Drosophila melanogaster: one gene and its partners. The protein of the gene in region 1 interacts with the protein of each later gene in a pairwise test. Each region holds a gene or a part of one and is shown in the gene's direction. Other genes may lie near its edges. The genes, in order: Cul2, Doa, CG6923 and ClC-a.

Region 1 (7,112 bases):
CCAGTCAGAAAATTTCAATTTCACAATGCTGTGAAATAATTTCAGTATAAAGCTTTTATCCTAAACATATTTGAAGTTCCAGAAAATTCTAAAAAATTTCTAGGTTGAGTGGATTAGGATTTAGATTTAGAAAATCAGTCTAAGTCCGGACGAGATTGTGAACATTTTCAAATTAAGGATAAGATAAGATAAATAAATTTTAAATTTTAATTTACATGTATCTACATATGTTGGCTGTTGTCTATCCCAGTTTCGAAAACAATGCATGTAAAAAGCGTGTAGTCACAGAAAAATTATATCTCCACGAAAACTGTGGATTAAATTGTAATCAAACTTTTTACACAAATAATGAAATTACAACATTTTTAAGATACCGTGCAATTTGAAGTTTATTTAATTTTTTGGAATTCACCTCCAAATAACGATTAAGAAATAAATACAAAACGTCTGCCGTGCTGATGGCTCAGGCTTTCCTCAGGCTGGAGTACCCCCCATGCCACAGCTCTAAACACTAAAGTCGATAACCACCGACGTCTCACAACACTGAAAATGTAAGCAATGTTAAAGCGAACACAAAGACAAAAAATTTAAATGTTTTGAAATGCTTAGAACATCACACCTTTTGGTAAATCGGAGTCCGAATTCTTTAAATAATTCTCGGTATATATATTAATTATTTTTTACATCATTTACATCTCAATCCATTTCTCCATCAGTATATGGTATCACACTTGGATCGACGACTGCTACATTGGATAGGTCAAAGTGAAATGTGTGGATGGCCTTTGGAAGCTACAAAGGCTGGAAATAGTGGTAGGCGATGTGCCAATTTTTGGCGCATATGGAAGGTTGCAAGTATTGATCACCGGCGGCTACGGTGGATGTGGCTCCAATTTATTCTTTGGAGTAAATTTCCGGTTTGGTGGATAAAAAAGTTCCAATCGACTGACAACCAACAGACAACTAAAAAAATTTGGCGCTCAACGATCTTAGCCATTGACAAATATGAGACTTTCTGATTTTTTGAGCTATACATTTTGTAAATTTTTGTTTCTTTAAGCTTAATGGTTTTTTCGTTTGTTTATCTTAGCCTTTATATATTTTCTTAGTAATTAAACATGTATTTATTTTGTATCTATCTCTTTGTATTTGTATTTTTTTGTATGTATCTCTGTTTGCCTTTTCGAAAGCCACATCTAGGCACTTAACAGTTTAGACCTTTAAAACTCGGTCTGTACAAAATGGATCATTCTTCTAGATCATACACTTACCTTTAAGGCATAACCCTTAACTCACTTTTGAAATCTTTTGAAAATGTATATTCTTTTGAACAAAAAGGTTGGCACTCGAGAGCAATAGCAATACGTATAAGCAATCGAAAAAAACGAAAATCATAAAAAATCCTAACATTATTACAGTTCACATATGAAATCAATTTAGGTTTGTGCACTTACAGTTTTTTAAGAAAATGGCTTTGGCCAGTTTTTAGGCAGGAAGGTAAAAAATTTGTTCAGTGGATCGGCGTTGACAATAAATTAAGATCAAAACAAAAGCAAACGTTTCGGTAGTGGAGACACGACATTCTTTTTACATCGAATTTTTTGTCGAGTTCAAATATCGATAGATTATATCGATATCGTCTTCGTCTGACAAACCATTTCACGATACCAAAAAAAAAGTGCAAAAATAACTAAATTCTCGGCGTAATTATTTAGTAAATAGCGTAGCTAAGCAGCAGGTGAGTAGGTCGCAAGCGCGCCCCTCCACGATCCATCAAGCGGTAATTGGCCTGCTGTGCAATTGCTCGAGGACAAGGCCATTTGCCTGGTGGCCCCCACGCAAAAAGTAAGCGATTATGCCAAAAAGCAAAGCAGAAGTGGTCTCTGCCAACGCATGAGGGTCGCTCGGTCGCCCATTGTTATATTTGCGAAGGCAGAATCAGTCGGCGTTCTAATTAGCGTGCACCCTGTCCCATCAGAAAACCCTTCCAAATCCATATCCAGACGGACCACGGATTAGGACTAAGACCCATTTGACATGTCGCTCAAGCCCAAAATAGTGGAGTTTGTCGATGTTTGGCCGCGCCTGCGCTGCATCGCCGAGTCGGTGATAACGCTCACCAAAGTGGAGCGCTCGGTGTGGAATACTAGCTTCAGGTACGTCTTGGCAACGGTCGGAGTATTAAACAGCCTGGAGAGAGATATTGTGATAGGTCACTAGAGACTACAAAGTTACCCAACTCAGAAGAAACACAAATAACACTAACTAACTTTTAAATTAATCCAACATAAGTAATGGTTTCAATCACATTATTTTGCATTTGAGTTGGTAAACTATGAATGTACTAGTACCTAGCGGTTCAACTATATATTTTATTCAACAGCAAAATTCACAAATATAGCTGCTAGCGAGGCGAAAATGATTTGGTAAATGTCGTAGAATCTTGATAAATGCAATCATAGTTTTAATAATAAATGCCTGTTTTCTAGCTTGAATTTAAATATTTTGACCGCTTAAAGGTTAAACTAAGTTCAAGTAAATATTAAATAGATCGATGACGTATCTTTTTAAAATTAATAATCAAAACAGTGTAACGCAGGCTGCTTTTATTCTGACCGCAACTGTTCGTATATATGTGTGAAGCGTGAGTTGCCAAAATAAAATTTCTAAAATAACGAGCACTAATACATCTGTCTTTCCAATCACATTCCTTTAACATATAGCGACGTTTACACACTGTGCGTGGCGCAGCCGGAACCGATGGCTGATCGTCTTTATGGCGAAACAAAACACTTTCTTGAGCAGCACGTCCAGGAGATGCTGGCCAAAAAGGTGCTGATCGAGGGAGAATGCTCCCATTCCAATGGTGGCCCAGACCTTCTCCAGCGTTACTACATCACCTGGATGGAATATAGCCAGGGTATCAAGTATCTGCACCAATTGTACATGTAAGAATGCATCGAAGTCTGTAATAACTCAATGATCGTTGGAATTAATTTCCTTTAGCTACCTGAATCAACAACACATCAAGAAACAAAAGATTACCGATACGGAATCGTTCTACGGTAATCTGTCAAGCGATGCTGCGGAGCAGATGGAGATTGGCGAGCTAGGTCTAGACATTTGGCGCCTGTATATGATTGAGTACTTGTCCAGCGAACTGGTCCGTCACATACTCGAGGGCATTGCCGCAGACAGAGCTAGCAATGGCACCTTGGATCACCATCGCGTGCAAATTATCAACGGAGTGATACACAGCTTCGTGGAGGTACAGGACTATAAGAAAACAGGCTCGCTTAAGCTCTACCAGGAACTCTTTGAAGGCCCCATGCTGGAGGCCAGTGGCGCCTACTACACAGACGAGGCTAACAAGTTGCTCCATCGGTGCTCAGTGTCGGAGTACATGCAGGAGGTTATCCGGATACTGGAATATGAAAGCCGGAGAGCCCAAAAGTTTTTACACGTCAGTTCCCTGCCAAAACTACGTAAAGAGTGCGAGGAGAAGTTTATTAACGATCGTTTGGGCTTCATCTACTCGGAGTGCCGCGAAATGGTTTCAGAGGAGCGGCGCCAAGACTTACGCAACATGTACGTCGTACTAAAGCCCATACCCGATAATCTCAAGTCTGAGCTCATAACCACCTTCCTCGATCACATCAAAAGTGAAGGTCTGCAGACCGTATCTGCGCTGAAGGGCGAAAACATCCATATTGCGTTCGTAGAGAATATGTTGAAGGTACATCACAAGTACCAAGAGCTGATCGCAGACGTCTTCGAAAACGATTCTCTATTCCTGAGCGCATTAGACAAGGCGTGCGCCAGCGTTATCAATCGCCGGCCAACCGAGCGGCAGCCTTGCCGTAGTGCCGAGTATGTGGCGAAATACTGTGATACGCTACTGAAAAAGTCTAAGACCTGCGAGGCAGAGATCGATCAAAAGCTTACTAACAACATAACCATATTTAAATATATCGAGGATAAGGATGTGTATCAAAAGTTTTATAGCCGACTGTTAGCCAAGCGCCTAATCCACGAGCAAAGTCAGAGCATGGATGCGGAGGAGGGAATGATCAATCGTTTGAAGGTGCGTGGTCTGCTAGTCTAAAATGTACTTCACAGTGAATAACTGCAATAATGTGAATTATTTATTTTTAATGCTGTTTTAATTTGTTATGACCCTTTTACAAAACTACATTAGCTTAAATAGATCTTCTTTTATTAATACTTACAGCAAGCCTGCGGTTATGAATTTACCAATAAACTTCATCGCATGTTTACGGATATATCGGTATCAGTAGATCTGAACAACAAGTTTAATACTCACCTTAAGGATAGCAATGTGGACTTAGGTGAGACGGAAAATGTATATTCATTAAAGATAGTTTATTTTTATGTATGTGTATTTCTATGCAGGCATCAACCTTGCCATTAAGGTACTGCAGGCGGGCGCGTGGCCCTTGGGATCTACTCAAGTTATACCATTTGCAGTACCACAGGAATTTGAAAAATCTATTAAAATGGTACGTTTTTCGTAAATGTATATATTTTATTTTAAAACGAGATAGAAGCTGCCTTTGACAAACCAAAGTTATAAAAAATTTTTTTCAGACTTTCTTTATTTAGTCAAATTTTTAAAGAGAGGCCTTTTAACAATATTCAGAAACATATATAAATATTTAAAGCAGCAATAAATACAAATAATATATAATAATAAATACAGAAAAACCTTTATGTAAAAAACTTTCCTTCAAATCGACGACTACATCGTAAGGTGTTCTCTTGAAATGTGTGACATATAGAAAGTTAAAAGTATCTTTATTTCAATAAAGGTACTTTAGCATACCAAATCAAAACGCAACTTCTTTTGGTCCAAATACATCTTAAACCGTGTGACTTTGTCGAAGGTACTTCAGAAATTTTAAATGTATACGTTAATCGTGTACTGTACCTTTGTTATGATTTTTCAGTTCGAGGATTACTATCATAAATTATTTAGTGGCCGGAAGTTGACTTGGCTACATCACATGTGTCATGGAGAATTAAAGTTGAGCCATTTGAAAAAATCTTATATCGTGACTATGCAAACATACCAGATGGCGATAATACTGCTGTTCGAGACTTGTGATAGTCTGAGTTGTCGGGAGATCCAGAACACCTTACAGCTAAACGACGAAACGTTTCAAAAGCACATGCAGCCTATTATCGAGTCAAAGCTTTTAAATGCCAGCTCAGAGAATCTCGCCGGTGAGACTCGAATAGAATTAAATTTGGATTACACAAATAAGCGTACAAAGTTTAAAATAAGTTCGGCTTTGCAAAAAGAAACGCCACAGGAGGTAAGGCATTTCGATTTCAACCTGGTTACCTGGTACCTGGTTTTCTAACGACGTTATTTATGTAGGTTGAGCACACAATTAACTCGGTAGATGAGGACCGAAAACTCTTTCTACAAGCCGCCATTGTAAGGATTATGAAAGCGCGTAAAGTCTTAAAGCACAATGCCTTAATACAAGAGGTAATATCTAAAACACCTGACTGTGAATTAAAATTACATGATGTATTTTTTCTTTAGGTTCTCTCTTTATCGAAGGTTAGCTTTACTCCCAACATAGCAATGATCAAGAAATGCGTGGAGTCATTAATTGACAAACAATATATTGAGCGAACGGCGAACTCGGGCGATGAATATAGCTACATGGCATAGACTGCGGTAGAGATTTTTTATTCTTAAACAAGAACCTTCCCGGACAACAACCTCCCATACACACAACTGACGCTAACCAAGCGGCTTATTTTGTCTAAAAAGAACTACCTACAATGTTAAAAAAAGAAATCAAAAGGTCAAGCAATTTGAGTTTTGTTATTTTTGTGGTCATAGCATATTGGTATGAAAGGTGTGTGGAAATCAAACGACGTTACTGATACTTTTAATTTAGCTTAGTTAGTTGATCCATTTTGATTTAATGCGTGTGTCCTATTCAATTGTAGATATAATATATTTCTTTATGTATTGTATATTTATCTGGTTTTATTAACACACGCACAAACCAGAATAATGTGCTGGAAAATGTATAATAAATCCCAAAAAATGTCTAAAAATATGTCATTCAAAGTATTTCGTATCCTGTGCGTTAACGCTGTACCACTGTACACTTCAAATTTACATAAATGAATGCTGTGCAAAAAGCAGTCAGCATTGCAGTTTAAGTATGCGGATAGAGATCTGTACTTTTTATTTGGTCGTCTCGGAAAAAACTGGATCTATTGTCCGGAATCCCATTCTTATAATTTTTTGATTTTCTAGTACTTTTTAATAACGAATCCGGGTAGAAATAGGCGTACCACCACCTACAAATTGGCATATCGTATATTGAGCTTTGAGTTGTCAAAGTGCCAAAGAAAGTGTAAAAGCAAACATTTTTCGAAACTTTCAAGATTGCTAAGATTCTTAGATTTTGTTTTAAAAGAGCTTTTAAGGACTTTCCCATCTTTTTGTTTTTGCTCACACATTTTATTGGACCTTGGTTTAAAATATAAAATTCCCTTAAATTCTTTTACTAATCTTAGAATGTCGATTTTATTAATTTACAATACCTTGTACGTATGTTCAGTAACCATTTAAGTTTCGCCTTTGCCAAGAAATCCAATATTTGTATATATTAAATACCCAAGGGCCGTGGATTATATTTGTTTTTAGTCATTTTTATTTCTTTTGTGCTACTTTTCTAAAAAATATATATCATAATGGTAAATTAATTAATTTTACAAATATGTATATGTAACTTAATAGTTAATTATAAAAATTATTAACTTCCTATATCAAATAACACTAGTTCATTGAACGGAATAAATAAAAAATACTTTTAAGTCGCTGATAACATTAATTTGTTTTGATAAATTCGGTAGAACATGATTGTAATTTGTTTCGCGATAAAAAAAGCGGTCCCATAAAAATCTTTTTAACGCTTCTGAATCCATGGCCATACCCTGAAAACAACTGCCTTCAACGACTTAAAAGCATTTTGGATGTAATAGCTGTAACTGTAATACAATTCGTTAATAATAATTTTATCTTGTTTTTGAGTGCCACAGCTCCCGCTGATAAAATGATT
Region 2 (4,633 bases), on another chromosome or scaffold:
TAAATGCTTCAGGGCTTCAAGAGGCGGAGCACTTGAGTGAGCAGCATGAGTTGATAAGATAGTACTTGAAACAAAGTAACTTGGTTGGGCAAGGCCTTTAAACTGTGTCGAAATTCAGAAACTTAGATGTTACATAATTACAAATAACTATTGGTTTTGTTATTCAAGTGTAGGTTTGAAAAAAAACAGTAGCCACTTTAAATATAATCAAAATTTTAAGAGATAATCATTTTTTAAAAGCTTAGAGCGGAAACTCGGTTTGAGCTGTATTCATCAGTAATAAAATGGTACTTAAATAGAGCAGTTAAGCGAAACCTTGGCAATATTCATGTGCAAATTAAGCAATTTCTATGCGTTCTTCGTGGCATCTAGCTGTATGAAAAACAGCTCTCAATTAAACGAGAACTTTATAGTTCTCATTCACTGTTGGTGGTTCTTTATAGCTACCCCTGTGCCCAACACTCCCCGCTGTTCTAGTTATTTTCGTTCAATTGATCATTTGACATTAACTCGTTGACGGCGGCCAGAGTTTTCTTTGCTGCTCTGAGATGTGATGAGATATTGCTATTGCTGCTGCGGATGATGCGAACTGCTCCTCGCCAGCATTGCCAGTTGCCCATGTCGCCGCCAATTAAGTGGGCTGAGTAACTCGCATAGAATTCCCTCCGCGTCATCGTTTAGTCCCCAGGCCGCCAAGATTCAGTATTTTAAGCAGTTGGAGCAGCAGCTCATCATCCGGAATGGGGCGAATGGCTGTGGCCTGGAAACATATCTGGAGGAGGATGCTTCACCCGGTGACGGAGAGAGCGTGGCCATTACCCGCTGCCTGCTGCTAAAACGGCAACGTAATCACTTTGATCTTGTGGCCCTCAGCGATATGCCTGTGGACAAGTACGCCGGCGACAATTGGATCATCGAGGAGTACTTTGTGGACCACAATGACGACTATCTAGTGAGTCGTCCCCATTCCGAGTCACAGATTGTCGGCGAATATCTTTCGTTTTCTCGTGATGCATTGTCGGTCCTACAATTTTATAGGAACACAACCTTTTTTCAAAAATATTGTGGAAAAAAATATGTACAGTAGTAATTGTAATCCTAACAAATTCCCTTCGTTGTTTTAAACTAAAATTGTTAGTTATAATCTGTATATGTGATATATGTACACATGTCGATTCAAGTCAAATGGTCGTCCATATATTATTCGAATTTCTGCAAACACAAATGTTAAGTCTTCTGGAAATTTTGGCATGATTTATTGGCAATGCTACTGCTTTGACCGCCGCTATATACACCGATTTTACACGGTGCCCACTCACTCTCCCTGTCTATATCATGCCCCCAAATACACACATGTTTATGGGCTCCCGAGAGCGACGCCTTGGGGATTCCTCTCCGCACTGTGCGCATGTTCGTCTAAACTACCTATGGCCCATGGCGCACAGCTGATACTTCTTTCTCGGAGATGCGCGCGCAGCTTCATCCGGCGGAAAAGCATCTACTTGCCATTTGCTCCGTGGCCATTGGAAAATTATAAATACACGCGCCGCCGAAAGTCTGCGCTCTTCTCATCTGCGGCCAGTTTTCGGCTGAGAATTTTCAAATTCGAGGAAACCGAAACAGATTGAAATCTACGTTTGTTGGCTGTGTGTCGCCGCCACTGCTGCCATATAAACCATATAAACTACATATTGTCGTCGCTTCGTCTTCGTCGTGTAACGGTACGGGTACCACGGGGATCCCCCGCACACTCGCTGTCTCTCTCTATCCGGTCAGATCCCCCCGATCTCTATATTGATCGTCTCCTTTCGCGCAATTTGTTTATCGATGTGTGTGTGTGCGTGTGTGGTGTGTGTGCGTTTCTTGTGCTTTGAATATTCCTTTTCTTTTTGTATTTGGCTGAGAAACACCAAATAATCGAATAGAACAATAATTAGAGGTACATACGGAGCGTATGTGCAATATAGAAACGCATTTCGGAACGATAGGATAGGTAGAACAATTGCTGGGCACCGTGACATAATCAAGCGCAAGAACAAAAAACAACCCAAAACTTAGAACATTTAAGTGTTTTAAAAATAAAACAGTAGCAGTGCGGCAAGAACAAAATTGTCGAAAGCGAAAAAAACATCAAACAAAACACTGAGTGTTAAAAAAAAGTGCGCGATATTCATCGGACTGTATTTGTTTAAACAAAACGCGATGCAAGATACCATAGCCAAACTGTTTTATTGACCCCCCGCCAATGGTGGCGAGTGTATAATTCGGAATAATATCAAGTGGGATACCATCCAGCCTGATGAGCAGCTGTGAAACGTCCAAAACGCTGATAGTGAACTTTGCACTTCTCCACCAAGTTTGCAATTAGCGAGGCGAAAGATACTTTTAATAGAAATAGCGTATGGGGATGGAGGAGACTAGTGCAACATTCACTCAATCGAATACACAGATAGAAATGAAGATAGTTTAAAAACATTTTGGACTATGGAATGATATATATCTTCAAACCATATTTCTTTGTTAACTATGTTCCAAAAGTTTAAGGGTCAACAAGTAAAAACAGTTTAGTTACTATTGTGCTTAGATAATATGGTGAATATGTTTTCTGTGTACTCGGAGATGAAGGCGAAGAAGACAACGCAGCGGCCAAGCAAATCAAAACAAAAACTCAAAACTAACAAATGGAGCACACACGTGTGTGTCCGTTAGTGTGTGTGCCACATAGATACAAACTATCTATATGTGCGCTACAGATCGGCGGGATTATTCATCAGGCTGCCACATCATCATCATGTTGATCTCCGCCGCTCCGGCGTCTCCTTCCGCTGCCCTCCATCCTCCACTTTCCGCTTAGCTGGCGTTTTCTATAATTTTCGAAAGCTATTTTCGTAAGGCTTGCATTTATATTTAGTTGCCACAACAAACTTATAGCAAAAATCCAAGACACAAACTTGTACATGATTAAATTTTGGCCATATGATGATGCCAACCAAAATAAAAGTCAACTGGGGTGGAAAACTTTTCCCCTTCAGATTTTCCAACTCGAATGTGTGTGCTTTCGGTACAGTGAAAGCTAAGCCAGAGCTCAGCAAAGATCAGAAAATTAATGGAAACTCAAAGTGAATTAAAAAATCCAATCAGTCGAATGTGATTATCAGAGATCAGAGATGCATCTTCCAAATGAGAGCTGTCAGTTCAATTTGCATGGCTGATCGAGGTTTCACTGTACTGGCACTAGCGTCACACGTACTGTGTACTAGGTATAACGTCGTCCATTTGTTAAAAATAAAAACAGATTTCGAACCGAACACAGAATGGCAGGGAAAGATGCCCAATGAACCCCACCGAGATATCACACATAGGCTAAAACGATCTCTCCAGGGATATTCACACATATTCCACACATCGCAATAGATTTAGGGCAAGGTGCAGATCTTTTGGCTAGAATCGCAAAGGGGTAGGGGGTTTGCTTTTTGATGAGGCGGCGCCGCGATCAATGAGCTCATTGCTGTTTACGATTTGTAATTTGTATATGTCTCTGCTCTATATACCAAAACAAATTGGGGGTGCTATACATGCTTGTACCCATATATATGTCGGATGTATATGGGCGCCAAAAAGAAGCAGTCTTTGGTCGAACGGCGACCATTGATACAATTAGTAAGTCAAGTCGTCGGGCATTTGCCAAAATGCCAATGAGACATTGACATTGAGCGTGCGATCGATTGTTCCGATCCGATCTGATCCGAATAGAACCAATACGAAATAATCCGATGTTGCGCAGGTTTCCTTTGGGGCCAACATTGGCAGCCTCGCGAGTCTTGCCCAGCTAGTCGAACCCAACGCAATTCGAGGGAGCCGCCAGTGCAATATTAGATAATCGAGTAATTTTTCCCCTTGGGATCCAGAAAGAAAGCTGACAATCAACCGAAAAGTTCACCACACCCCTTGGAATGTCCAACGAACTTAGCGAACTGATCGCCCTTGGCTGTCCAGACCTCGCGGCGCAAAAGCCGCAGGGCGGTAGCACCCAGGTGGAGTTGATCCTCAATACTGAGCGCCGCCTGAGCATAAAGCAGATGACGGCCACGGATTTGGCCACACTTAGGGCAGCAGCAGCCGCAGAAGCGGAGGCCAGATCTCGAGCACAGGCGGAGGCGGAAGCTCTAGCAATTGCCCAGGAACAGTTTCGTCAGGCCCGCGAGGCCGAGTCCAAGGCCAGAGCACGTGCTGCCCTCGAGGTGCAGGCTCAGCTGCAGCGGGTGATGGAGAGCGAGAAACGCAGGCAACAGGAAGAGGAGGAACGGCGCATCAGGCAACAGGCAGAGGAGGAGCAGGAGGATGATGAAGACGACGACAACGATGAGGAAGAGGAACTAACCAAGGGTTCCCTTCCAACCAATTCAGGTCCAAGAGAACGCATTGCTTCGCTACCCTGCAACATAGATGATGCCATGGAGATGCACCTTCTTAACGTTTCGCAGCCGAAGGCCTCTTCCAAAGATGACTCACCGCCTAAGAAGAGTACCTCTCACATAGCTGACTCGATTGAGCTGCTGAGAATGCAGCGAGCTGCTCGGGATGCCCGTTCCCACAATCGTAGTCGAGAGCGTTCCATTTCGCCAGATCGTAA
Region 3 (7,877 bases), on another chromosome or scaffold:
TTGTTAAATACATACACCTATAATATTTAAAAAATTGTGATATAAAATGTAAATGTAAATGCACCTGAAGAAATCTATCTATCAAATGACGCTGTGCCATCAACAACCACTTCAATCTACTGATAAGAGGAGTATCATTTTCCACAGACCTTATTTGTTTACGTCCCACGAAATCAATGTCAAGTGCATGCTGCATACACACCAATTCTTCTATTTTTCCAACCAACAGCAACTTGTGCGAAAAACTTCCAAAAAACAAAAACAAAATAAACGAAAAATTAAACTGACCACAAAAAATAAAGTTAAATGCAGACATATGAAATCATAAATGATTGTTCATAATTTTAGCTCAAAACGCTGCTGCCAAAAAAAGTTGCCAACGGCCTCGTTTTGGGTTTGGTTAAAGTTTTGAACATTTGCTAATAATAATAACAGCGTCCAAATAATTTATACTATTCATGCAATGAATTCCTACAGAAGCAATCAAAGTTGCACTGAAACTGAAGTATTGAAGTGGAAACTATCGCTTTCGTTTGTTTGTAAAACTGTGAGGAGTGTTTCGCAACGAAACAAAAAAAAAACAAATAATAACTATGAGTTGAATTTACAAGCAGCGCTGCTTAAAATCCGATAAAACTACACTCAAACAAACAGCACCTTGGTTTAGAAAATGTCCGTTAAGCCAATGGTTAAACTTAAGTCGTTACACTGGTCAGCGCAGCTTTCGAGAAATGAACACCAACGAGAATATGGGGAAATCCTGCAGATAATTGATTAGCTGACCGATTTAATCAAGGAATATTTGTATGAAGCGAATTGGTTTTAAAATTATGGCTAAACAGAATTGGAAACGAAAGCCAAGAGAAAAGAATACGAAGCCAGCAATAAAAGAAAGAGTAGATATTGTTTTATACATATAAAAACTCAATAAAAACACTAAATACATGATATGTTAAGGCTTGTGCTGTGCATATGGATTTATTTCAGGCAGCAGAGAAGTATAACCAGTCCCAGCAGGCAGATAACCCAGTTCAAGCACCGCGTATTGTCTCCAATGGATACCATGTGGTAGGTTGGTGCCTTCGTTTCCGGGAAGTGTAGAACCATCAACTCGGGATTCGTGCTGTTCCTTTGCGTGGAATTTTGCTTAGCCAAGCATTCTTTAAGCAGTCTCTCCAAGAAATGGATCCTTTTGTACACGCACTCGAAGCCCGTGTGGTAATCGTAGACTGATGTCCCATTTCGAATGAATTTGCCCCATTTATCCACTAGAAACCAATCGAGATTGTTTAGCCGGCTTCTCCCAATTGTAATGAAGAAAACTCGAGAATCGTTTTCCACATGGAAAAAGGCGTACTTGTGGTTTTCGTCCTGATTGTGGTAATGGGGAAGAGTATAATACGTTGAAAGTGTCTTTTTCTTTGACCTTCTTTCGTGTATGCCCCGGCACAAAAACACGAATGTCTTATTCTTGATTGGCCAGCATTGTGGGCTTATTCCCATGTTTACATGAAAAGAAAATGAAGGAAACTATGTTTGTGATAGCAAAACTAGAAAATGTAATACAGTTTAATTAAGATTAACATTAAAAACCAGATAATTATGATTCGCAACTTTCCAACTAAGAGTTTCTTTGTATGTATATATTAAGCTTCCCTAAACAGTGGTAAGTAGTGGTAGTATAGTTTCTAACGGTATATTTAGTGCCAAAATATTTGAATTATCAGTGTGGCCATACTGCGCAACTTTAGTCTACGAAAGAGCTAGCTAGCTTCTATGCGATAGTATCGCCATCATCGCCGAACTGCAAGTTTTTGCACCGTCGAAGAAAAAGTTGTCTAAATATTTCAGTTCGGTGTTGTTACTGCTATAAAATCCAGTAACACATACAAAATGATTAAATCGTGAGAACATATATATCGCAAATTTGCATGTGCATAATGTAAATTTGTTCCGGACAGCAGCTGCGAATGAGAATAGTCCCCCGCCCCCGCGAAAAGAATTGCATTTAAACTCCCTTGTGTTCCCCAATAGCAGCTGTTGGCCTGCCAACCCCCACCACCCACTCTCTTTGTTTTGCCCAATCGGAAATCCCCACCCGGTTATTCGCGTAATCCCGGCTTTAGGAATTAAGAAAATTACCAAAATCGCAATATTTCTGTGTTACACATATAATAGAGGTAAGAATTATTTTGGGGACATTTGTTATCATTGAACAGCTGTTCATAGTTTGCCCACAGCCGAACAGCTGATTTGGCGTTTTCCCCAAATTGAAGTCAATAGTATCGAAACATTCAATATACTTAAAGCTGAATGTTATTCGTAAATTTTAATTTAAGTTAATACAAAATAAACGCATCAGCTTAATATCAGCTTAGACATATCGATATGCTGACATATCGATACAACGCTCATCCCTATTGCGTTGGCTAAAATAAAGAACTGCTGAACTTAATTAGTAATAAGTTGTCATAAGTTATTTAGAGCTTCCGTGGAAACCCCCATCATCCCAGTGCATGGAATCCGATAAAAAGTTTTCACTTTTCACTGCGGCGCTTGTGTTTTCCCCACGTAGCTTTGGAATTTCCTGCTAACGGCGATGAAAAACTTGACGGAAAAGTGGTGCTGACAAAAGAGTGTGTATTTGACAAGCAAAGAAAAAATTTCCGTCTTCAAACTTTATTTTGAGCTTTAAATCGTTTTTACTCGCTCGAGAACTGTGCAAATAATAGCCCCGAATTTCCATTTGGAGTACCTAGAGTACATAGCTGGCAATAGCTTTGGAACCCAAATACTTAACCCACTGCTTGTTTTTGTTTCTGTTTCCGGACAAAAAAAGCAAACTGGTCTCTGTTAGACAGTTGTACCTCCTCATACCCGTAAATTAAACATTTTTTCGTACATATACACAATTTTAGCGCATTTTGGCCTGCATGCGCTGCAACGCACCTTTGCCGTTCTGGTAACGTTGCCCACTAGACGACTGAAATGGATAGCTTGGAGAACGACCAGGAGGAGCTGCACCACCAGCCGAGGGTCACCTTGGCGTACGGCAGTGTGGCCACCAGTTCGGGTGGACAGGAAAACCGTAAGCTGGCCATCATCTGGAACCAGATAGTGCTAATCCTCTTGTGCTTTTGCAGATTCCCAGTATGCGATGTACTATAATCAGCAGAGGGATTCGGAGGGCTACATGCTAATGACGCCCTTCCTGTCCAGTTCGCAGAGCCACAGCCACACCCGTTCGCCGCCCACGTACACCGCCATGGTGGAGCCACGTCGCGAAGAGAGTTCTGGATTTGAGGGCTTGGCCAGGCGGTGTGACAAGTGCAGTTCGCTGGACGGACTCTGCCGCTGCGAATCGATGGTGGCCAGTAGCAGTCGCTATGCGGACTCCACACAGAACCAGTCGCATTCGGAGGCTCAGTTCTTGGAGCAGCCCTCATCCTCCACAGCGGCGATCGCCAATCCGCCCGCTGTTCATTCCATTCCACGACCCAAGCGAAAGAAGACTGAACCCCTGACAATGGAGCCAGAGAGTGACAATGACGGCGACGCGGTGGTTGCGTCCGTCAGCGGCACATGGCCTGCCGGTGCTATAGAAGAGCATGCTATGGACTCTACGGCGGTCGTTTACGAGGTCCCCTCTAGTTCGCTGCAGCTCAGCAACAGCTCCTTCGAAACCGCCCCAAGTGCCGTAAATGCTTACGATGATGTGACATCGAGTGCCTCGGACACGGAGCACGGCCAGTTTGCTCATACGCGTACCACCAACACCACGACGACTACGTCTGCCGTTCAGGCTCACAAGAAGAAGGCCAGCCGCTCCAATAATGCCTCCAACACCTCTTCCAGAGCAGTAGATACGGATGCCACGCCAAGCACGAGTGCCCAATCGAGAAAGCGACAGATGAGTCAATTTTCTTATCGCAAATCAAGGGTTTTGGAGCCGGAAAACGAGAGCAGCGATGATGGCTGGGATTTGCGTGTGCATAATCCCGTTCCACCAATTGAGCCCACAGTAACGATTATCCGTGGTAGCAGGGGGTCCGACGAGGCCGAGATAGGTCATACGGATCACAACTACTATAATAGTCGGTGCGCTGTGGCGGGAGCTCCACCGGATAGTACCTACATTAGGTCAGCCTCCTGCTCCACGGCCACCCATACTACACGTAGCGTGGATTATGGATCTCGCATTGGTCGAAGGTCGGCTGCAACAGGATCACCGTCCACAAGCTCGGATCAAGAACAGGAGCAGCAACAGCGCCAACAACAGGAGGAGATTATTCACGAAGAACGGCGTCATCAGCAGTCACCAGGCCAACCCATGCACAGTATGTACGGTGTTCCCGGCGAGTCTAGAATGTCATGGAGTCGTGCGCGGCCCTCTGACGACTCAGTGCCGCCTAGGAAACATGCGCGCATGGAACTGCCCGGAAGATCGCGTTCCAAACTGTCCTCAACGAATTTTAATTCGTTCTATCCTGGAAGGAGAGGACACCGAACCTTTGCGGAGCAAGGGAACAGTTCTGGGCAACATCATGTGCGGTTTCCACCATCCTCGACGCCGAATTCGAACGGGCCCTGTGTGATTACGTACGTCGGCCGGCCAAGAGATAGTCAGCCCGCCGCGGATCTCAATCTTCCGTCCACATCCACGGGAAGACGTGGCAGCCATGAGACCCGCGCCGATTCCGTAGTCTTGACGGCACCAGACTTGCAGCTGGATGATTGGTCATCGGACGATGATGATGATGACGTAGTATTTGTGCACTCCACTCGTGAGCCCATACTCTCAATCGATTTGACATCCGACGACGATGGCTTGGCCAATGATACGCAACTGCAGAGGGATAGGGATAGGGGCCGTGAAAGAGAACGGGAGCGAGCAAGGGATCGGGAACCATATCGTAATGACACTCAACCCAACCCGGAGGATCCAAATGAGGATAGGAGGACCATGTATGACTGTGCTTACACATTCCCCTATGCTCGCAGGACAGATCGTCGTACAGAAGCGAATAATGAGGGCACCTCTGCATTCGCATTTTATAGTGGCGCTCTAGCTGATCGGGCTGCCATTTCGGACCACAATTACAGCTACGAGCTAGACCAGCTGATGGATCCCGGCCCCGGTAATTTTTACCCGCCCCGCTGCTCCAACATGGATCCACAGCGCTACTTCCTTCCGATAAACGAATCCTCGATGTGGATGCCAGGCCATCCCGCTCCCCCGCCACCTCCGCCCCCGATGCCCCCAATTTTGCTGCCTGACAACTCTTCCACTGAGGCATACTTACGTCATCAGCAAAGAAATCTTACATCCACTCCAAGCAGCTCGTCCAGCGAGCAGACATCAACGCAGCAATCCCGCCACAGGCGAAGTAGCCCGGCGAACGTGTATCATCGTTACCATCCGTACTATTATGCGATAACAACGCTGCCAACTGTGGTGGAGTCGGACTACCCGCCGAGTCTCCAGCCTCACCCTCACCCTCATCCTCATTTTCAGCCCAGTCAAGGCGGAAGCAGTCGCAGTTCTTTGAGTGGAGCTTTGAATGCGGCTGCAGTGGCAGCCACAGCGGCGGCGGTACAGGCACAAACTTTTAGTGATTTGCTATCACAGGCCCATAATGAGGGACGTGCTGCGGCCCTGGAAGGCAACCGGACACCTCCACATACAATGGTGCATGCGCAACACCAGCAGCGGCAATCCATTAATCCGCCAGCGCCAGGAGTGGCATCAAATGCAAACCTGGCGGCAGCTGTTTCTCCACCACCGCCGCTTGAAATGTATTCCGGACGGAGCACCATTCCGCACTGCGGATCTCCGCCGTTCAGTGTTCGACGCTCCGAAGCTGCGTATAGCAATAGACAGCACTATCAGCCGCAGCCGCATCAAGGTCACCAGGCACCGCAGAACCAGATGCACGCCCACATTCATCCCCCTCACCGGGCCAGCGCCATAGTGGCCACCTCGCTGACGCCGGCTCCACCGTATCCGGTCCATCAAAATCTGTGGTACCGCCAGCAAAGCATGCAGGAGATGCACCGTCGCCACATGACGCCCACACCTATCGATCTTTCTTCGAATGCTCCGCTATTAACGAGCACGCTGCGAAACGGGTACCTGCATAGCATCTGCAGTTGTGTTCATGCTCGGAACGGTCCCGTATCAAGCCTGGATCCCGCTTACTATCCGCCGTACGACGCTGCACCGGCAGCTGCTGCTCCTCCACCATCTCCTCAACAACAGTCGCCTGCTACATCCGGTTCTGGCAATAGTAGCGTGGCAGCACAAGCGAGTATGCGACATCTGCAGCTTCAGCCCCAACAGCAGCCGCAGGCTCAGCAATCGCCACCAGTAATGCAGCATATGCAGCGCCAGCGGGCCATACACCACCACATGTTCCATCACCACTACTCACCACTGCATCTGGAGATTGGGCTGGCCCCCCTATCTCTGGGCTCCCGTATCCTTATCGCACCATCACGTCCAAACCGGGGAGCTACTTTGGTAAGGCCGTATAGAAATCAAAGTCATACCTATTTATATTAATTAGTTTTTACGTTTATTTCAGGAAACTATTGAGCGGAATACCTTGCCTCACAAATATCGACGCGTCCGAAGACCCAGTGAGACCGATGAGGATGCCGAGAAGTGCGCCATTTGCTTAAACCTCTTTGAGATAGAGAACGAAGTTCGGTAAGTTCAATGTGGACGTTACCTTATAAAGTTCTCTAATTATATTAAATAACAATTGCAGCCGCCTGCCGTGCATGCATCTATTTCACACGGATTGCGTGGATCAGTGGCTAGTCACCAACAAGCACTGCCCCATTTGTCGCGTCGACATCGAAACACACATGCCCAACGACGCTCTTCCCCCCAGCTCCAGCGGAGTCCCAGATGCCGCCAATTCCGCCGCATTATGACATTGTGTGCACGGCATCTTTATGTAAATCCCTCAGACTGAGTTTGTTCTCGGCATGCATCGATACAAGAACAAAGAATGAAATATTCGTAAAAACCCCTATATACATACCTTAAAATGTTTAACCCACCGCAACGTATGTAAAAGGCAGTTGCCACAGCTTGCTGCCGTGTTGCGCTGAAAGATATCAAAAAGCTAAATTTGTTTGGCTCAATTTCTATGTCTAAGTATATTAAGTGATTCGGCAAATAATTTCCTATACATATGTACAAATTGTCTACGTTTTGTGAAACAAAATTCTTGTGATAAGAATTTCATAAATATGCGTATATTGTTATAGTATAGAATTCCCACGACGGGCGTATATGATAACTTTGACCCCAGCTTGTTGTTATATTTTTAATGATCACACAAAATAATATAACATCGGACCCTAAACTTAACCGATTAGAAATCGATTTGGCAATTTGCATTTTTCTTGAGTAATTATTTGAAGGACTTAAAATCTGGACGATTTCCTCTCATTATTTAACAAATTTTGTTATGTTTTGATTAGTCACAAAAATGTAGAGAATAATCTTTTATTCTATTACCAAAGACCCTAGAATAATTCTATTCTATTCTAGTGTCTTTGCTATTACCAAATTATATATAGTACATCTATTTAATTTAATAGATTACGGATTATTGCTCAATATCTCATAACGTGCCATATATAAGTGAATTGATTCGATGCAATTTTTTAAATCTTGAGCTAACATATTTTAAAAAGGTTGGTTTTATATTATAGAAAGTTTCCTAAAACTTTTAAAAATTGGCTGTCTAAGACGGCAGAAATCAATAAATAATCCAATAAACGTCTGTTGATTTTTATTCCACCGATAAAAATACGATACACCTTTATTTCTGTTTGGGGTTTACATATTTTATTTTAAATCA
Region 4 (4,815 bases), on another chromosome or scaffold:
CAGGTGTTGTTGCTATTTGGACCCTTATCGCGGATTTTGCGGCTCGAAAGGTGTTTCTAGCACCATCTGAGATGCTGGCTCTCCAGTCGCCACACGGTTTTAGCCAAGATCACTTTGTTTTATCGCAAGCTTGCTAATTTCTTTCATATGAGTTCGAAAATGGCGTTTCACAAAAAAGTACGTAAATTATCATTTCATTCGGACAAATATCTCTGCAACTGTTTTTGCGCCATGAAACACAAAAGACAAACTTAGGGAATAATTATTATACTAAAGTTAATTATATGCGTTGTGACAGATGGTTTCCTTGATTCGGAATGTTTGAATTTATGGTAAATATCTTTCAAGACCCATTATGTCAATTCAAAATGTTCAACTAAAACAAATTTGAATCGGACTATGTGATGAGATGAATTATGTAAATATAAACAATAATATAAGATATTAAGATACAATCATACAAATACAACTATGAGAACTACTTATAAATTAACAGACACAAAATGCCGCACTGCTTAATGGGTCAAGCAGTGCGCTGATATCTAACAGCTCGCGACAAAAGATAAGCTTTCAGTCTCTTTATACCCGTTACTCGTAATTTAAAAGGGTATACTAGACTTCTTAAGATGAAAACGTTTCCGACCATAGACCTAGTATATATACTCTTGATCAGGATCAATAGCCGTATCGATCTGGCCCTACCCGTCTGTTTTTTCCGTTCGTACGAACGTCGAGATCTCCGAAACTATAAAAGCTAAAAGTTTGAGATTAAGTATACAGATTCTAGAACCATAAACATGTAACATGTTCCCACGTCCCCATTTATTAATTTTAATATTTTTTTCATTTTCCACCGATATTACAGAAAATGTTGAAATCTTTCACTTTTCCAGCTGAGTGACAGACAGTGACAGTGACAGTGACAGTGACAGTCAGATACCCATCTGATAGTACCTCGACCATAGCATTCTCTCTTGTTTTTAATAGGTTTCTCTTAAATTCCTATTCCTATAGCAATTTCCCGAAAGTCATTAAAGTTCAAGATTATGGTCTGAGTACTCGATTTACGCGCAGACCAACAATCTATACCTATTTAGGGTTGCCATTATCATTATCGCAAATTAGGGGTAGAAGTTGTAGATTGACTAAGACAATACGGGCCAGAAGAGCCGGTACACTTTAATACTTAAATGTGATAAATCCAACGGATTCTTGAAGACATGTGACCCAATGCCTAGCCTACACATTGAGACTATTAAAGCAAGTAATCGCAATTTATGCGGCTTAAGTGATCCGTCACAGTGGGTCGAGCCATGCCAATATCTTGCAAGAAAGCTGGAGTGACTAATGAGCATCAGTCATTATTTTCTAGAAAGAAAATAGTGAGGATTATTACTTTTCAGTGCATAATTGGCAATAGCAATGGAATATCTACATATTTAAAAACAATTTTCAATGGCAATCCTCGATGGAACCTATGATTGACCTAGACAATAAGACCATGCCCACTGTGCACCGCACTTCGTGTCATCCAAGCGCTTGGCATTTTCACTTTTTTGCCGTTGGACCCGTCCACAGATTATTAAATTTATGAAATTCTATTGATGTTTACACGCAAACTTTGACCGCTCGAGAGTCAGTGGATGGATATACTACATACAAATGTGGGAACTATATGTACAAGTATCCGCAAACTTGAGACTGCTGAAAGAGCAGACGAGTGCGTCGGTGTCTGTGTACTAAATTTAATGGAATCTTGAATTTAAGCGGGACTGGAGCGTTCTATCTTCATGACACTATTCAGTTTGACTTTAGACACTGCTCGACTCACATGCAGTCGGGAATTGAATTCGCAAACGGATTTCAAATACGGGAAATGAGCAAAAATATCTGTGCCATGGATGTGACGAAACCGTATCGATCCCATCTTTGATACGAGTAGTGCGCCATCGATTGCGTTCAACTGCTATAAACCCATTAAAAACCCATTTGAACTGACAACAGCACAGTATGGTTTATTTCGGCGATCGGCAACGCGATCGCAATCGCGATCGGAGTAATCAGAAAGTCGAGCGAATCATTCACGATGAAGAGTTTGGCGAGGAGAACGTCGAGTTGGTGGACTCGGAGTGGGCGGACTTCGAGAAGTTCATTTGCCAGTTGCGCAAGCGGCGGAACAGTGCTATGTCCATGGAGGAGGAACTGCGTCACGTGCAGCGGCATCCGAAGATCAAGTCGCACGCCTTCTATCCGTGCCCGCCGCCAGCTGAAAATGCTCGGGATTCGGACTCCTCGGACGATGATGATCCCATCGGATACATCGATACTCTTGTAAGCACAACTGGCGATTTGTAATACAATAGCTACTGTTACGGAAATCTAATTCTTTGTTTGATAACGCACGTCATAAAGTTCTTATCTGTATATCTGTCCCACTTGCATTCGCTGTGTGTTAGCCAAGTTCATACACATATGGTCAACAGAATAGTAGTTTGGGTAAAACATAAGTTTTACTTTGTTATAAAAAAAAGTTCTGAGAACAAATACCTTTTCATTCCAATTATATAACTTTTTGATAATTTTTGCTTATTGCTTAAAGCCTTTGCTAGCATCGAATTTTCAAATTATGAAGAAATATTATATTCCATGTCTGGTTTGGAGTATTACAAAAGAACCTCCTTAAAAATTATAATTTTTTCGCAATTTTTAGCCGCAGGTGTATGTATAAAGATATAAATATAGGTACGTCTGCGAATAGCCGTGATTATAATGCCAATTTGTCTGATTATCCGACTTTCTTATTATTATTACCCCTTTTTGATGACGCAAAGAGCGTCGAAATTTTTTCCATTGCTCACGTAGAGGCAGTAGTAAAATATTTGAATTACATCTATGAAATTATACAAGCTCAAATACAATATCTCAAATATTGTAAAACAATCACTAGATTAAAAATGGAAAAATCACTGCCACCTTATAAGATATCCAATCAATCGATACGTTCGCATTGTTTATTATTGCAAATTTAACAATGTTGAAAAGTCTGCTTTATTTATTTAAGCATTTTTCGTCACGCCCGTTTCGTACATCTGCCGTGAAACCATCGATCAAAACAAAAACTTTTTAGATTTCTGAATGGTTTTCCAAGCTTTCGCTCGCCGCTTTTCCTGCCAGTTGCCACTGGCGATTTTCCCCACTTCTATTCGCATCTGGGCCTTTGTAAAAGCAATGCAAAAACAGTGTACAAATGACAAAACAGGCAAAAACATTAGCTATTTTTAATCCGATTATAACGAAAAGTGTTTATTATATTTAAAAAAAAAAAAGAAAGCAACAAAGATTCCATTGCTAAAGGTAGTAGGGTGGCGAAAAAGAGTGACCGTATCGGGAAGTCGTAGGTGAGATTTGAATACTTTCGTATACCCATTACTCGAATTGAAAACTCCCGAGCACTTAAATCACACACGTGTAGTTCATTTCATGAGCACATCTTAAATTGATAATCCCATATCGTGCAATTAAGTTTATGAACCATTTCGAAATACCAAAGAATTTGGCTTTGATTGCCAAACGAGCGGATTTGGAAAACAATGCTAAGATTCATATTTTGTTTACACATCGCTCGGCCAGTTTTTCATTTTATTTCTGGCCATTTTTTAATATCGGCACAGCGTGCTACCCTGCCGCAGCGTCTAGCCAAAAGAAATTTCAATAATTTTCCACACAAAGAGCGCCGAAAGCTCGACAAGTCAGTTTAGTTTCAAAAAAGTTTGGGTCAAAACAAGAACGCTCGGTGGCTCGGTCGGTAAATCAAAAAAGGAAAAATCAATAGATAATGAAAATCATTAAAAAGTGCCAATAATTTGCAAAATATATGGGCAAATACTGAGGTGTTTTGTGTGCATTTTCCGATCGAATCGCAGCGATAAATCAAATTTATTCGAATACGGCAAAGCCGTAAACCGACCACGACCCAGTGTAGAAATGTTAAAAATAAATGGCAATGCATTTTAGAATACCCGTGTTTCCTAGACGGGGACTCAAGGGCAGTGGCGTCCACCTCTAATTACGTCTGGCAGTGGGACTCAATTCAATTCGAATCGAATCGAGTCGAGTCAAAAACTTGCACTGCATCCGCGAGATAACCGAAAACCTAAAAATAATTGCCAAACAAGATGCGACACAAATATTTGGCCAACAGCCGCGGGCATGTCAAAGGCCGCCACCCAGATCCGTGCGACTGCAGTGCTCACTGTGAATTTTGATTAAAATTTGATTACGATTCTGAGTGCGCGATTCCGATTCCGATTCCGATTCCTATTTCGAATCTGATCGTGATTTTGAGTACGGGACATTGTTCGTGTGCATCGCTTGCTTCATGTTTAACAACAGCCACTCGCACCAGGATGAGTACATTCGCGAATACGCCTTCGAGCCGGAGCTGCTGATCAATCGCGAGGACTACCAGCGCAAGGAGGAGCGCTCGCAGAAGTCCACAGCCGCATCCTCCGCCTCCACGCCTGTCCGCCAGCGCTGGGATGAGGTCATTGCCAAGCAGAAGGAGCAGCAACGCAAGCAGAGCATCGAGATCGATCCGCCCGGCGATGATAAGAACCAGATCGAGATCGAGATCGAGGCGTTCTACTATGTGAGTGGCCTACGAGCCACCTGCCCATTTCATCCGCGTTGGACCAACGGCCATCGTCAACCCTTTTAAGCACTGGAAAAAAATAACCCTGAAGTAGTTCCATCATATCGAAAATAATCCATGACACGGTTCCCATTCCAAAAGTGAAGTGGAAAATAAGCGAAAGT

Evidence for each region.
Region 2: the proteins of Cul2 (region 1) and Doa interact in a two-hybrid assay, tested with the Drosophila melanogaster proteins (one large-scale study listed by BioGRID).
Region 3: the proteins of Cul2 (region 1) and CG6923 interact in a two-hybrid assay, tested with the Drosophila melanogaster proteins (one large-scale study listed by BioGRID).
Region 4: the proteins of Cul2 (region 1) and ClC-a interact in a two-hybrid assay, tested with the Drosophila melanogaster proteins (one large-scale study listed by BioGRID).

The regions. Positions count from the first base shown.
Region 1 is NT_033779.5:21,657,117-21,664,228, forward strand, and holds Cul2 (cullin 2), read left to right. Parts: upstream 1-1,618; 5' UTR 1,619-1,845; intron 1,846-1,978; 5' UTR 1,979-2,037; coding exon 2,038-2,156; intron 2,157-2,723; coding exon 2,724-2,948; intron 2,949-3,006; coding exon 3,007-4,084; intron 4,085-4,231; coding exon 4,232-4,349; intron 4,350-4,413; coding exon 4,414-4,520; intron 4,521-4,967; coding exon 4,968-5,336; intron 5,337-5,401; coding exon 5,402-5,515; intron 5,516-5,572; coding exon 5,573-5,704; 3' UTR 5,705-6,582; downstream 6,583-7,112.
Region 2 is NT_033777.3:28,901,855-28,906,487, forward strand, and holds the start of Doa (darkener of apricot), read left to right. Parts: upstream 1-1,623; 5' UTR 1,624-1,721; intron 1,722-3,784; exon of another isoform or gene 3,785-3,908; 5' UTR 3,909-3,953; coding exon 3,954-4,633. UniProt on the Drosophila melanogaster protein: Dual specificity kinase involved in the negative regulation of microtubule-based transport through phsophorylation of the microtuble-binding protein eEF1gamma.
Region 3 is NT_033777.3:11,744,001-11,751,877, reverse strand, and holds CG6923 (uncharacterized protein), read left to right. Parts: upstream 1-1,848; 5' UTR 1,849-2,180; intron 2,181-2,389; exon of another isoform or gene 2,390-2,636; intron 2,637-2,852; exon of another isoform or gene 2,853-2,918; 5' UTR 2,919-2,988; coding exon 2,989-3,088; intron 3,089-3,143; coding exon 3,144-6,520; intron 6,521-6,584; coding exon 6,585-6,709; intron 6,710-6,770; coding exon 6,771-6,939; coding exon of another isoform or gene 6,940-6,966; 3' UTR 6,967-7,395; downstream 7,396-7,877. Other genes in the region: CG43062 (uncharacterized protein), read right to left, coding at 979-1,503.
Region 4 is NT_033777.3:11,803,549-11,808,363, reverse strand, and holds the start of ClC-a (chloride channel-a), read left to right. Parts: upstream 1-1,796; 5' UTR 1,797-2,010; coding exon 2,011-2,331; intron 2,332-3,754; exon of another isoform or gene 3,755-4,378; coding exon of another isoform or gene 4,379-4,648; intron 4,649-4,815. UniProt on the Drosophila melanogaster protein: Voltage-gated chloride channel. Chloride channels have several functions including the regulation of cell volume; membrane potential stabilization, signal transduction and transepithelial transport.